Macaca mulatta: one gene and its partners. The protein of the gene in region 1 interacts with the protein of each later gene in a pairwise test. Links are inferred from orthologs where the notes say so. Each region holds a gene or a part of one and is shown in the gene's direction. Other genes may lie near its edges.

The links. The genes of interacting proteins can lie anywhere in the genome.
Region 2: the proteins of MYOG (region 1) and FTL interact in binary tests that used the Homo sapiens proteins (3 or more experiments, as listed by UniProt). The two-hybrid records come from large-scale screens. The link is inferred for Macaca mulatta from reciprocal best matches to the Homo sapiens genes MYOG and FTL.
Region 3: the proteins of MYOG (region 1) and POLR2C interact in a two-hybrid assay, tested with the Homo sapiens proteins (2 studies listed by BioGRID and IntAct). The link is inferred for Macaca mulatta from reciprocal best matches to the Homo sapiens genes MYOG and POLR2C.
Region 4: the proteins of MYOG (region 1) and H2AP interact in binary tests that used the Homo sapiens proteins (3 or more experiments, as listed by UniProt). The two-hybrid records come from large-scale screens. The link is inferred for Macaca mulatta from reciprocal best matches to the Homo sapiens genes MYOG and H2AP.

Annotation. Positions count from the first base shown.
Region 1 is NC_133406.1:60,809,055-60,813,354, reverse strand, and holds the start of MYOG (myogenin), read left to right. Parts: upstream 1-1,500; 5' UTR 1,501-1,963; coding exon 1,964-2,509; intron 2,510-3,282; coding exon 3,283-3,364; intron 3,365-3,436; exon of another isoform or gene 3,437-3,638; intron 3,639-3,981; coding exon 3,982-4,103; 3' UTR 4,104-4,300. UniProt on the Homo sapiens protein: Acts as a transcriptional activator that promotes transcription of muscle-specific target genes and plays a role in muscle differentiation, cell cycle exit and muscle atrophy.
Region 2 is NC_133424.1:61,421,569-61,425,069, forward strand, and holds FTL (ferritin light chain), read left to right. Parts: upstream 1-1,224; 5' UTR 1,225-1,425; coding exon 1,426-1,527; intron 1,528-1,688; coding exon 1,689-1,835; intron 1,836-2,204; coding exon 2,205-2,330; intron 2,331-2,822; coding exon 2,823-2,975; 3' UTR 2,976-3,001; downstream 3,002-3,501.
Region 3 is NC_133425.1:53,058,717-53,062,756, forward strand, and holds the start of POLR2C (DNA-directed RNA polymerase II subunit RPB3), read left to right. Parts: upstream 1-1,240; 5' UTR 1,241-1,293; coding exon 1,294-1,379; intron 1,380-1,588; coding exon 1,589-1,638; intron 1,639-4,040. UniProt on the Homo sapiens protein: Core component of RNA polymerase II (Pol II), a DNA-dependent RNA polymerase which synthesizes mRNA precursors and many functional non-coding RNAs using the four ribonucleoside triphosphates as substrates.
Region 4 is NC_133426.1:37,817,893-37,820,900, forward strand, and holds H2AP (huntingtin-interacting protein M), read left to right. Parts: upstream 1-1,204; 5' UTR 1,205-1,975; coding exon 1,976-2,329; 3' UTR 2,330-2,508; downstream 2,509-3,008.

The DNA of each region.
Region 1 (4,300 bases):
TGCCTCAGCCTCCTGAGTAGCTGGGATTACAGGTGCCTACCACCATGTCCGGGTAATTTTTGTATTTTTAGTAGAGACGAGGTTTCACCATCTTGGCCAGGCTGGTCTTGAACTCCTGACCTCATGATCCACCGGCCTCGGCCTCCCATACTGCTGGGATTACAGGTATAAGCCACCACACCCAGTCTATGCTGCTACTTTCTATCATGCTGGTAAGGCCAAGAACAGAATTAAGACCTCACTGTTCTCCCTCAACATGCTTAGGGCTCTTTTATTGTTCAGCTATGTTCCCTCCTTCCCCCCGTTTCCTATCCCAAAAGGACATCAGAATTCTCCTGGCTCCCTGCTGTGAACAATGAGAGGAAGGAACACTGGTTCTTCACATGCTGCACAGATCTCATCTCCCTTGTAATCTCCCCTGAGTCCCCAGCAGGGTTCCCCTTCCTCTCATTGTCCTTGCCACCGGCTTGAACTTGTCATTTTGATCTGTCATAGGATGAGGAGCAGGACAGATCAGACTTGGTCTATGGGGCCTAAGGGAAAAAACTAGGAACAAAGGGTAAAAGATAGAGGGAGAAGATTGCAGCTCAAAGCTGCACGTCAATGGAAGGGGCTGTCTCCTGACGTGAGCAGAAGCTGAACAGTGGTTGCCTGGGAGGAGATTCGGTCATCAGGGGCTAGGTAGAAAGAGGTGACCACCATTGTCTACCAGATGGTAAGGTCAAGGGCAGGGACCCTGTCTGGGGTGTCCCTATAATCCCCAGCCCTAAGACTGAGCCTTGTTCACTGCTGGTGTCTGAGGTCTGCCCACTGCATTGGAAAGAATTTGTCCTCTCAGACCCTGAGGCACCTACTGAGAGGTGACCATGGCCTGAGAGGCCCGAAGATTATACAGTCCCTGCTCCACCTGACATTTGAGACCTGCATGATACATGTAAAATTGATGGCTCAGATGAAGAGGCAGAACAACCAAGCCCGATGGCCAAGGAGAGAAGAGATTTAAACTGAGTTTGAAGGGCTCTGTTTTTTCTCCTTTTTCACCCCCATCCACAGTAATGAGTCAGGAAAATTCTGGTGTTGGAAAAAGAGTTGAGGAGGTAACATAGAAGGACAGATCAATGGTCCGGAGTGAGACAGGGAGGAGACAGGGAGCTTAGTACATCTTGACCTTGCGGCTCTGGGGAAGGTGGCACGTGTAAGCTGTAAATTCTAATCTCTGCTCTGACCACGGCCGCTGTATTAAAGAGAAAATTTCTCTTGACCCCTGCCAAGAAAACCAAAACCCAAATAATTTCTCTTGCCTCAACTTACCCCCCATCACATGAGACCTAAGAGAACATACAGGTCAGAGCTGCTTGGGAACCCCAAAAGTGGAATCTATTAGCTGCTCTGAGTCTTGATCCCTTTTATCCCTGGATACTGAGTGCCCATGAATGCCCAGAATCTGAAGCAGTCCCATTCTTTCGGGAGGGAGGTCTTTAAGAGTCTCATCGACTGATGTAGTGTGGTTAAGGTGCTGTCAGGAAGCAGGGAGATGGATAAGTTGGCTCTTAAGGCCTCTTCCAGCCTAAGCCTACCCTTCCTTGTTCCCTCCTCCCCCTACACCCACCAGCTTCTTGGGGACTAGCAAGGAGAGAGCAGGCAGGCCGCCCAGCTAGGAGTAATTGAAAGGAGCAGATGAGAGGGGAATGTGTCCTCCCCCAATGCCCCTGCCCCACAGGGGCTGCTGAGAAATGAAAACTAATCAAATTACACCCGACGGCCTCCCGACCCGTGCACAGGAGCCCGCCTGGGCCAGGGACAGGCTGGCTGGGTGGGGTGGGGGCCATGGGGGAGAGAGAAGGGGAATCACATCTAATCCACTGTAAACGTCTTGATGTGCAGCAACAGCTTAGAGGGGGCTCAGGTTTCTGTGGCGTTGGCTATATTTATCTCTGGTTCCATGCCAGCGGGGAGGGTTTAAATGGCACCCAGCAGTTGGCGTGAGGGGCTGCAGGAGCTTGGGGTCTGGTGGCAGGAACAAGCCTTTTCTGACCCCATGGAGCTGTATGAGACATCCCCCTACTTCTACCAGGAACCCCGCTTCTATGACGGGGAAAACTACCTGCCTGTCCACCTCCAGGGCTTCGAGCCACCAGGCTATGAGCGGACGGAGCTCACCCTGAGCCCCGAGACCCCAGGGCCCCTCGAAGACAAGGGGCTGGGCACCCCCGAGCACTGTCCGGGCCAGTGCCTTCCGTGGGCGTGTAAGGTGTGTAAGAGGAAGTCGGTGTCCGTGGACCGGCGGCGGGCGGCCACACTGAGGGAGAAGCGCAGGCTCAAGAAGGTGAATGAGGCCTTCGAGGCCCTGAAGAGGAGCACCCTGCTCAACCCCAACCAGCGGCTGCCCAAGGTGGAGATCCTGCGCAGCGCCATCCAATACATCGAGCGCCTCCAGACCCTGCTCAGCTCCCTCAACCAGGAGGAGCGTGACCTCCGCTACCGGGGCGGGGGTGGGCCCCAGCCAGGGGTAAGTGGCCATCCCGTCCCCCTGCCCCAGGGGGAGGGGGCCAGAGGGAGGCACCTGGACAGCCTCAAGACCCCAAGAGGGGCTCAGAGGGTTGGAGCAGGTGCCAGACAGGGTCGAGGGGCTTCAGGAGCCCTTCCCTGGTCAGAGCTGGGCTATCCAGCTGACCCCCTGTGTCCTGTGTTCTTTCCAGACGAGATAGAGGCAGTGAGGAGGAAGTGCAGAAAGGGTGGGGGTGGGGAACACAGGACTGAAGAAAGGATCAGGAGCAAGGCCACAGTCAGCCCGGGTAAGGGTGAGGATTAATCGCAGAGCCTGAGTCAGAGCCTAAAAAGCCAGGCCAAGTTCACCAGAGAAGGCTGCTTTGCCCCCTGCCCCACCCCCATCCTGGGTGTGGCTGAGCAGAGAGAAAACCCACTCAGTCTCATTGGAACTCCAGCAGGCCTGCACAGAGTGACCTTCACTGGGCCAGAAAATCTGTCTCCATCACCCTTATCACCAGAGTCAGGAGAACCAGGGACCTTTAACCTGGGGTCCTGTGAGGGCAGAACCACCACTCAGGATGGAAGCCAAGAAGGCCTGGAAGCAGGGCCTCTAGGACATGAGAGGAGCTGGTTACTAAGATTCTGGGGTTGGGGATGGCCTGGGCTGGAAGGCCACAGCCTGTGGCCCACCCTCCAACCCCACCACAGGTGCTTCTGCCCACTGGGACTAGGCAGAGAGACACATCAAAGAACGGCTGTGCCCCGACCTTGGGCCTTCGCCCTGTCTTGCAGGTGCCCAGCGAATGCAGCTCTCACAGCGCCTCCTGCAGTCCAGAGTGGGGCAGCGCACTGGAGTTCGGCGCCAACCCCGGGGGTAAGTGAGGCTTGACCCTGGTAACCTTGACTCCAATCCCTCAGTCCCTCCCTGGGCGTTCTTCCCTCTTACCTTATTCCTTGCTCCGGTCCTCTTCCCTTGGGTCTCTCCAGGGACCTGCTGACTCCAGGACCCAAAGGGTGGGCTGGGAGGTTCTGTGTAGCCCTGCAGTCTTGACCAGCAAAGGAGTGATAGTGGCTCCTGCAGCTCCCCAGCTGATGCCTGGTGGTTGACCTTCTCCACAGAGAGGACAATGTCCCTGCCCCAGGGGTCCCTGCGAAGTGCTGAGTCAGTGCTGCAAAACCGGGCCGAGCAAAGGGCAGGTCCAGTCTCTGGGGAGCTCCATCCTGCTCCAACTTGAGTGACTGCTTCCAAACCCTACCTCACTAGGGGAGTTCAGAGAAGAGGCGCGCGCGCGCACACACACACACACACACACACACACACACACACACACAGAGCATGGGGAAAGGCAGGGACTAGGGAGTAGAACTCCGGAGCTTTATCCCCCATCTGTCCTGGAAAACCTGTGTCACCCCAAGGGTCCCATCCTCTATTCTGGGCCTCAAGAACCCCCACTCCTCACCCAGGTACCACCTTCCCACCTCCCCTTACAGATCATCTGCTCACGGCTGACCCTACAGATGCCCACAACCTGCACTCCCTCACCTCCATCGTGGACAGCATCACAGTGGAAGATGTGTCTGTGGCCTTCCCAGATGAAACCATGCCCAACTGAGATTGTCTGCCAAGCCAGGCATCCTTGCAAGCCCCCCAAGCTGACCACAGATGCCACTGCTTCTGTAGCAGGGGCCTCCTAAGCCAGGCTGCCCTGATGCTAGGAAGCCAGCTCTGGGGTGCCATAGGCCAGACTATCCCCTTCCTCATCCATGTAAGGTTAACCCACCCCCCAGCAAGGTACTGGATGCCCTCATT
Region 2 (3,501 bases), on another chromosome or scaffold:
GAGACAGGAGAATGGCGTGAACCTGGAAGGCGGGGCTTGCAGTGAGCTGAGATCCGGCCACTGCACTCCAGCCTGGGCAACAGAGCCAGACTCTGTCTCAAAAAAAAAAAAAAAAAAAATACGCATTAGTTGTAGACAGACGTCTCGTCCATAGGTCCCCAGACTGTGTGTCCACAACGCAGGGCTTCTCTTTGTGGGCCTGAAAGAGCACACGTCAGGCAAGACACGACGGCAACTGCGGAGACACTGTTTTCAGGGCCAAGGAGAATTCTCGGAGTCTGTGAGTTGCCTCCAAAACAGCCCCCAGGACACGCAGTCCCAGAGACACCGCAAAGCTCGAAACAGACATTTCATTCCTCCCCATTTCCACTCCCAGAAAACGACTGGGCCCTTAAAAGAGCTCCAAGGTATCCCCAAAGTCCCAGCCAGTCTTTGGAGGGTTTCCGAGGGCTGTCCAGGGTTCCAGAAGTCACCCTACCTCATACAATGCTCCTCCTGGGCTTCCCGCACTGGGGAACCCCACGGCTCCAGAACAACTGCCCTTTCCAACTTGCAGAGCACCTCAAGGACCTAAAGATCTCCCCGGGGAGGGCTCCAAAATATAGAGTTTGCATCGTGAACTCCCACCTCTGTAAAGCCCAGGACTCCAGTCCTCGCACCCCTCTGTCTCCCAGAGATCCCCAGGGGTCCAGAAATACCACCTCACTGCCTTCCAAGCTTCCCAAGGATCCGGAGACTCCTTATCTCGCAGCACAAACCTCAGGCAACTACAGGTCCTCCCCGCACCTCTGAGTTGCCCCTCCCCCACTCAAGGTTCCAGAAAAATCCATGCCCTCCGAAACCCCACAATCTGACTTACTTTCCCGAGGCACCCCCAGGACCCCAGGGTCATCAGTTCACAGGACTCTCAATGCTCCCATAAAACTATAGCCTCCCAGAGGAACCCCAGCCCCCACCCCCCCGCCCACGAAACCCTCCATTCCTCGAATCGGCCCCAGGGCCCCAACCCCCGCAAGCCCCCATTTCACAACACACTCGCGCTGCAGGCGCGTGACTTCCCCCTGCTTTGGGGCGGGGGCTGAGACTCCTGTGTGCTCCGGATTGGTCAGGCACGGCCTTCGGCCCCGCCTCCTGCCACCGCAGATTGGCCGATAGCCCGCTCCGAGCGCCCCGCCTCCGAGGGCCAGCGCACTATAAAAGAAGCCGCCCTAGCCACGTCCCCTCGCAGTTCGGCGGTCCCGCGGGTCTGTCTCTTGCTTCAACAGTGTTTGGACGGAACAGATCCGGGGACTCTTTCTTCCAGCCTCCGAGCGCCCTCCGATTTCCTCTCCACTTGCAACCTCCGGGACCATCTTCTCGGCCATCTCCTGCTTCTGGGACCTGCCAGCACCGTTTTTGTGGTTAGCTCCGTCTTGCCGACCAACCATGAGCTCCCAGATTCGTCAGAATTATTCCACCGACGTGGAGGCAGCCGTCAACAGCCTGGTCAATATGTACCTGCAGGCCTCCTACACCTACCTCTCTCTGGTGAGTCCCCAGGACGCCCCTGGCCCTAATTTCCCCCAGCTGCGCACGTTCGGCCCTCAGCGCAGGCGCCGGCCTTCTTTGTCCGGTCGAGTAAACAGAGGGCGGAGTCCCCCTTGGCCTCGCCTCCCGCTAAGCGTTGTTCCCTCCATCTCTTTCCTTAGGGCTTCTATTTCGACCGCGATGATGTGGCTCTGGAAGGCGTGAGCCACTTCTTCCGCGAATTGGCCGAGGAGAAGCGCGAGGGCTACGAGCGTCTCCTGAAGATGCAAAACCAGCGTGGCGGCCGCGCTCTTTTTCAGGACGTCAAGGTAACTAGTGTGTGGGTAGGGTAACGGACTACATCTCCCAGCAGGCCGTGCGCGCGAGGAGCCTTGATTTGAGGGCTTAGATGTCGCGTGGGCTTCGGGGAGATTGAGTTCGGTCTTGTGAGCCCTTTTACGGCTGGAAATAGAGGCGCACGTCGTGCAGTGCCCCCAGGACGCGGCAGTCCACACTGCTGCGTAGACTTAAGGACGTGTAGCTGTAAGAGCTAGGACGGGGTGCGGAGAGTGATAAATACAAGCTGTCACATGTCTTTGTGGCCTGGGCCTCTGACCCCCACCAATTCTTGGGAAATGTAGGTTTAGTTCCATGTGCCGAGTGTGTGTATTCTGAAGCCGTTTCTCCCTTCTGTATAGAAGCCAGCTGAAGATGAGTGGGGTAAAACCCCGGATGCCATGAAAGCCGCCATGGCCCTGGAGAAAAAACTGAATCAGGCCCTTTTGGATCTTCATGCCCTGGGTTCTGCCCACACGGATCCCCATGTACGTACCCCCTGCATCCATGGCTACCCAACCATACCCCTCAAGCCTTTGCTCTCTTTGGGCAAATTCCCTTCAGAGCCTCATTTAACACCTGTCATATTTTAATCTGCAACTGGCAGCTCTTTCTCCCTCTTTTCCAGGGATCGGGTTTCCTTTTTTTTTTTTTGAGACGGAGTCTCACTCTGTCGCCCAGGCTGGAGTGCAGTGGCCGGATCTCGACTCACTGCAAGCTCCGCCTCCCAGGTTCACGCCATTCTCCTGCCTCAGCCTCCCAAGTAGCTGGGACTACAGGCACCCGCCACCTCGCCCAGCTAGTTTTTTGTATTTTTTTTTTTTAAGTAGAGACGGGGTTTCACCATGTTAGCCAGGATGGTCTCGATCTCCTGACCTCGTGATCCGCCCGTCTCGGCCTCCCAAAGTGCTGGGATTACAGGCTTGAGCCACCGCGCCCGGCAGGGATCGGGTTTCTAATTTCTCCCTCTTCTCTCTCAGCTCTGTGACTTCCTGGAGACTCACTTCCTAGATGAGGAAGTGAAGCTCATCAAAAAGATGGGTGACCACCTGACCAACCTCAACAGGCTGGCCGGCCCGGAGGCTGGGCTGGGCGAGTATCTCTTCGAAAGGCTCACTCTCAAGCACGACTAAGAGCTTTCTGAGCCCAGCGACTTCTGAAGGGCCCCTTGCAAAATAATAGGGCTTCTGCCTAAGCCTCTCCCTCCAGCCACTAGGCAGCTTTCTTAACGACCCTAACAAGCCTTGGACCAAATGGAAATAAAGCTTTTTGATGCAGTTGGTGGTTTTGTGTGTGGTATGGAAGATGAGGTGGGATCTGTTCTCATAAAGCTTCTGGCTGGGTTGGGGATGCCAGTGAAAGAGGAGTTGGCCCCATCTCCCATTTTCTTATCTCTTCTAAGACAAGAAGCTATCTGGGTAGTGTTGAACTTGAGGGTTCTCTGCTTGCCTGGCTGTTAACTGTCCCTCCCAGATGGTAGAGATAGCCTCCAGGGAGTTGAATTAAGACCTAGGTTGGTACCTGGACACAGATCTGTTCGGTTTCAGCCAGAAACAGCACTATTTAATGAGTGATTATGAGGCCAGGTGGGCCGATCAGCTGATGTCAGGAGTTCGAGACCAGCCTGACCAACATGGAGAAACCCCGCCTCTACTAAAA
Region 3 (4,040 bases), on another chromosome or scaffold:
TTCCCATCAGTAAAATAGGGGTAACAGAAGCCTTCCCACAGACCATTAGCTCTCTTGGCTGCCCTTGTCTGACGATTTCAGTGGTACATTCTTTAGCCCCAGTAATTTTCTCAGCCTGTACACTGGCTGGGTTCCCTTTGCATGTCTGGTTAGCTCTGTTTTCTGCTTTGCTCTCTTCTGCCTAAGTCAGCTAAATATTATTGGGGGAAGTCAGCAACTAATTGAATTTCAGATCTCTTGTGGGTCTTCCACTGGATCTTTTTTGTACCTCTCTTCATTCCTTGTATCTTTTGACATCCTGTGAAGTTTTTGCAGTAGCTGTTCCAGTTTTCATTGCATTCTCCTTTTTCCTTCATAGCATCCATCTCACACTCAGCAGACAACCATAATTCTTAATTTACAGAGATGACACAGGCTATGGAGCAGGGTTCCATCAGTGCCCACCCTCTGTCTCAGGAAGAGGTGTCAGTCTTTGCAAAGGCAAACTCTTTATCTGGTTACTCTTCTCCCACCTCTTAAATGTAGCTCCTGTCAAGTTCTATTTTAGAGCTTTTGTCTGTTGGAGCAGCCGCCACTTTGTTTGAGGCCCATTGAGAGTTTGAGACTCTCTCCAGTCTGTTTAGGGGACTTCAGTAGTTGTTGGTTGAGCATGCACCCCACATGGTGCCCACTGCGAGGCACTGGAGATGCAGAGACAAAGAGCTCCCACTCACCCACCGCAGCTACACAGACTGCAGAGGAAGCATTAGGTTAAAGAATATTATATCTTTTCCTGAAGTTTTCAGAAGTGCATGGTCCATACTTGAGACTGCAAGGGAAAGGGTATTTACTTATAATTCAGGTATACTTTCCTAAAATATGCATTCATATTAAAATATACTTTTGTTTTTCTGTAGATGTACAAGTTCTTTTTAAGGGCTTCATGATATTCTACGTGTGTATACTTCACCAGGTCTCTTATCAGTGGACAGTACAAACAGTACTACCATGAATGTCCCTGCACTCGTATCTTTGTTTACAACTGCAAGTGTTTCTGCAGTATGAGTTCTTAGAAATGTTACTGTTAAGTCGAGGACGTACGCGTGTTTTGCCAAACTACCCTCCGAGATAGCTGAATCCGGTACATTTTAAAGCAGGAGGCGGTAGAAGACGCTCGGCGGTTCCGGCCTCCGAGCAGCAGGCGGCGCTGTGAGCCGTCTTCGCGGAGGCCACGCTGACTGACTTCCGGTGTCGGCGGTGGCGCAGGCGCAGTCACCGCGGAGCTGACGCGGAGGCTGGCGGCCACGGGGAGCGATGCCGTACGCCAACCAGCCCACCGTGCGGATCACTGAGCTCACTGACGAGAATGTGAAGTTCATCATCGAGAACACCGACCTGGCGTAAGGCTGCCGAGGGAAGAGGCTGGCGGCTCTGGGGCGCCGGGAGGCCCAAGCCGGGGCCCCGGGGGCAGGGAGCGGGGGTGGAGTGGGGGTGATGTCCTTCCAGAGCTGCCCCCCTGCGCCAGGGCTTTAGCTTTGGGAGCCTGCGGCGCGGGCCCAGCCTGTCGAGGCTGCAGCGCCTTCACGCCTCTTGGCTTTTCGTCTTTCAGGGTGGCCAATTCGATTCGGAGGGTCTTCATCGCTGAGGTGCCCATAATAGGTAAGCGACCCCCCTTCCTCGTTCCCGGGCCCACGGGTTCCTGCCCCGCTCTCCACCCACACTCCCTGGGGCTCCTTCCAGTCCTTGGTTCGGGCTGAGGGTGGTAGTGCTGAGAAAAGTGCATTGCTGGAGACTTGACCATACCCTGTGCCCTTGGCCCAGTGGCCGCCTCCCTGGCACCCACGGACCACTTAGGTCCACTGTTGTCCTGCGTATGCATTGCTGAGAAGCATGGGTTTAACCGTGTGCAGACTTGGGTTCAAATACTGTTTTCACTACTATTGTCACAAAAGTTTTTTAAATGTTTTCAACTTTTATTTTGGATTCAGGGGGGTACATTGGTGCAGGGTTGTTGCCTGGGTATAGTGCGTGATGCTGAGGTTTGGGATATGAATGATCCTTTCACCCAGGTAGTGAGCGTAGTACCCAATAGGTAGTTTTTTACTCCTAGCCCCACTGCCTCCCTCCCTGCTCTAGTAGTCACCAGTGTGTCTATATTGTCATCTTTATGTCTATGCGTGCCCAGTTTTAACTCCCATGCGGTGTTTGGTTTTCTGTTCCTGTGTTAATTCTCTTAGGATAATGGCTTCCAGGCCGGGCTCACGCCTGTAATCCCAGCACTTTGGGAGGCCGAGGCTGAGGAACACCTGAGGCCAGGAGTTCGAGACCAGCCTGGCCAACATGGGAAAACCTCGTCTCTACTAAAAATACAAAAATTAGCCGGGTGTGGTGGTGCACACCTGTAATCCCAGCTACTGGGGAGGCTGAGGCAGAACTGATTGAACCCGGAAGGTGGAGGTTGCATTGAGCTGAGATCATGCCTCTTACGCTCTAGCGTGCGCAACAGAGTTGAGACTCCTTCTCAAACAAAAGAGAATAAAAAAGAGGATAGTGGCTTCCAGCCGCGTCCATGTTGCTGCAGAGGACATTATTTCGTTCTTTTTAATGGCTGCATCAGTTACTATTTTTGAGAAACTTGGGCAAGTTATTAAACTTCTGCGTACTTCAGTTTCCTCATCTGTAACATTCAGCCACTAATGATCTTTATCAGGGTAATGTTAAGGATTAAGTGAGGTAATCCATATAAGTGCTTTATGTTTAGTGAGTGCTCAGTGCTGGTAGATGGCTTTTTTATTAATCTATTCCTTCAACAGCATTTATGGAGCATGTAAGTGGCAGGCATGGTGGTAAGCTCTGGGAATACAAAGCTGTAGAGAACATGGTTTTTGCCCTCATGGAGTCCACAGTGAGGTTGCAGGGGGAGAGATGAATCCACAGACAACACTAAAGCAAGGTAGACTGATCAGTAGTTCAGGAGAAGCATAGCTATGGTGCAGTTGGCTCTTAGAGGAGGGAACATCAATTTCTGGTCTGGTTCCAGCCACTTTGCTCCAGGTGCTTAATGCATTGATTATACTTGTATGAAATACTTCAAGCATTTCCGAGAGTCAGGTCCAGAGAGTTTGGGTTAGGCAAAAGAAATATGTGGCATCAAATATTTAGACTTTTAAGGAAATAAGCAAGCCAAATGATTAGGCAAGAGAACATTGTAGTTTATCCACTACCAACCCCGGCCCCCCAGTCACTTCTTCAATTCAGCTTGGAGTGCTGGACCTCCCCCTGACTAATCACTTCATGTCTCTGGACCTCAGTTTCGTCAAGAGTCAGGTGAGGGAGTTGTACTTCATGATGCAGCCCTGCCATTCTGAGTCTAAATGCCTCTTTCCCCACAAATTCAGTTCTACAAATAATGTTGAGCACCCAAGCTAGGAATACAAAGACATCCCAGCACCTGCCTGAAGGAATTTCTGAAGCTTGGGGTATAGACATAACATACACAAATGTGACACAAGGCACACTATGACAAGTGTCTTCAGGGAAGTCTGAAGAGAGTTTCATGAGAGAGGAGGTGAAAGAGAGGGAGTGCCACACCTGTAGCATAGAGGGCAGGCAAGGCTTAGTTTTTAGGAGGCACAGAGGATCTTAACCTGTACAGTGAGGAGGGGAAGGGTGTGCTGGAGGAAGGGGCCGGGGGATTAAAGAGGCAGAAAAGCTTGGGTCAGGGTTCTCTTAGTTGGCTTGGACTGGGGAAGCAATGGGAAGCATAGCAGGACAGAGTAGGTGGAGGCCTAGCATGTGGAGGTCCTCTTCCGACCTCTGTTCCTAGTGTCTGTGTCCCTCATTTGGCAGTTGGGCTCCAATGCCATTTGATTCCTGGATTTAGTTGGTTCCATGCAAATGTTTATGAATGAATAAATATGTGTTTAAGTCAAGCGTGTGTGATAGATAATACCGTCTTTACCTTCCTACCTGCTCATTGCTGCTAGGGATTGGGTTCTATATTTAGTATGCTTTGTGCGTTAAAGGAATTCAGTAAAAGTCTGTTGGTTGAATGTTTAAAA
Region 4 (3,008 bases), on another chromosome or scaffold:
AACAATGACTGAGGGCAGAACCTAGAGGCCAGAGGGCAGATTTATGACCCCAGGTGAAGTCATAGGATCAGAGTGATCAAAGGGAGGAGTCTTAAGTCATAGAATATTCCCAGGCCTTGAAACCTAATGGTTGGATTTTGAAATTGTTTGGATTTAAGACTCTTTTGTTCTTTCTACTTTTTCCCCTATGGAATGGCAAAGTTATTGGCTGTAAATGAACCAAAGTCAAAGGGAAAACACAGAATTACTAGAAAGGAAAATTAAATAATAGAAAAGAAACATCTCTTAGTGCTTTTGCTTCACCTAGGAGAGACAAGAAATATACATCTGGGCTTAAACTGAGCACAAGATGCACTTCTCCGAGACGGGCGGATCACAAGGTCAGGAGATCGAGACCATCCTGGCGAACACGGTGAAACCCCATCTCTACTAAAAAGTACAAAAAAAAAAAAAAAACTAGCCGGGCGAGGTGGCGGGCGCCTGTAGTCCCAGCTACTCGGGAGGCTGAGGCAGGAGAATGGCGTGAACCCAGGAGGCGGAGCTTGCAGTGAGCCGAGATCTGGCCACTGCACTCCAGCCTACGCAACAGAGCGAGACTCCGTCTCAAAAAAAAAAAAAAAAAAAAAAAAAAAAAAAAAAAAAGATGCACTTCCCTATCAACTGTTTACCTGACACTGACAGGTAAACTTATTGAGCATCTTATTATTAATTGAAAAATGATTAAAATATATTTTTCAACCATTATGGAAAACAGTATGGCAATTCCTCAAGGATCTAGAACTAGAAATACCATTTGACTCAGCCATCCCATTACTGGGGATATACCCAAAGGATTATAAATCATGCTGCTATAAAGACACATACACATGTATGTTTATTGCAGCACTATTCACAATAGCAAAGACTTGGAATCAACCCAAATGTCCATCAGTGACAGACTGGATTAAGAAAATGTGGCACATATACACCATGGAATACTATGAAGCCATAAAAAAGGATGAGTTCGTGTCCTTTGTAGGCACATGGATGCAGCTGGAAACCATCATTCTCAGCAAACTATCGCAAGAACAGAAAACCAAACACTGCATGTTCTCACTCATAGGTGGGAATTGAAGAATGAGATCACTTGGACACAGGAAGGGGAACATCACACACTGGGGTCTATTGTGGGGAGGGGGGAGGGGGGCGGGATAGCATTAGGAGATATACCTAATGTAAATGACGAGTTAATGGGTGCAGCACACCAACATGGCACATGTATACATATGTAACAAACCTGCACATTGTGCACATGTACCCTAGAACTTAAAGTATAATAATAAAAAATAAAAATAAAAAAATAAATAAAATGCATTTTTCAAATAGGGTAAAATCATGACACTCATACAGATACGAAATGAACACATGCTACAAGAAAAAGATGTTATGACTGCTTCAAAAGGGAAACCAAAGAGTCGATATGGGAATATTCATCAGTAATATTAAATGATTGTGCACATGGAGGCAAAACTGGTTTCATAAGGTGAAGACAACTGAACCTCTACTAAAGAATATACTGTACACGTATCAGCCACCTACAACTAACAAAAGGCTATAAAAGACTTCACAGATAATGTAAGGCTAGAATCAGATAACCTGCAGTGGTGTCCTAAAGATAGAGCAAAGTTTTCCATTGAAACACACTTTTATTTTTATAATGTCAAAATCAGGTAAAGAGTTATAGTTCCCTCAAAATCAGGGTTCAGTCATTAGGGTGACTAGATCAGTGTCACAGACATTTCTAAGCTGAGGTCTGATCAGGGACCAGTGGACACCAGTGAAATCACAAAGCCTAGGGATGTCACAAAGGCAGCTAGCTCCCTGACCAATCAGGGCCTGGAGCAGAGGGATCCAATAGGCAGCACCAGCGTCCTCAGAGACTTACTTGAGCTGGAGAATCAAGCAGAGCTGATCAGAGCCAAACCCAGCAAATATCATGTCAGAGAAAAATAACCGTAAGAACTCCTCTGCAAATAACAACCAGATTCAAGACCGGTCTAGAAATGAGCTGCGGGTCCCTATGAGCTTCGTGGACCGAGTTGTGCAAGATGAACAAGATGCCCAAAGCCAGAGTTCCTCCACAATAAATATCCTCCTTACCCTGCTCGATTGCCTTGCTGACTACATCATGGAGCAGGTAGGCTTGGAGGCCATCAACAATGGCAGGATGCGCAACACTTCACAAGATGGGGAGAGAGAAGGGGACAACCACCATGAGCCCCACCGCACTGAGAGTGATGGAACCCGCTTTGTGTTTGATGAGATGCCCAAATCCGGAAAGAATGACTGAAGACTGGGTCCCAGAGCCTTGAGGGGATCCTCACAGGCTTAGCCAGGGCAAAAATGTGTCACAGCTGAGGAATATCTGCTGTTGTCATCAACAAGTGCTACTAAAGGATGTAAATCCATGAGTATGTTTCTGACTCCTTCCAGTTTCCGTCTTTTTGGGTTGTAGGTGTCTGTGAGACATCAAGGAGAAGCTATCCCCAGAGAGCTGAAGTTGGGGGGGGGGGCGGGAAGTGGTGGCCAGTGTGGAGTGTTTGAATCAGTGATTTAGAGGGGGCAGTTTCCAACGGTGACAGAGAGGGCACGGGCCCTGTGGGGAGGAACTGGCTGGGATAAAGACACCGAGACTTCCTAATTGCCTCTGAACAGGAAGGCCTTGTGAGGCCGGGGAGTTGGCTGGGGGCCTCTGAGGCTTGCTGAATTCCCAGCCTGATGCTGGGGCCTGGGGTGGAGCTGCAGACTCTGACTGAAGTGCAGGAGGCAGAGGGTGGTGGCCACAGGGGCGGGTGGAGAGGGGGCACACTGGCTGGCATGAAGTTCATGGGATAGGGACTTTACATGGAGATTGAGAGTGAAGGAGAAACCATGATGAAAAATGCAAAAAAGAAATGATGGCCTGCTGGATTTCATTTCTTATTTCTTTATGCCCTGACTTATTATGAAAGAGGATTTGAGACAGGGAT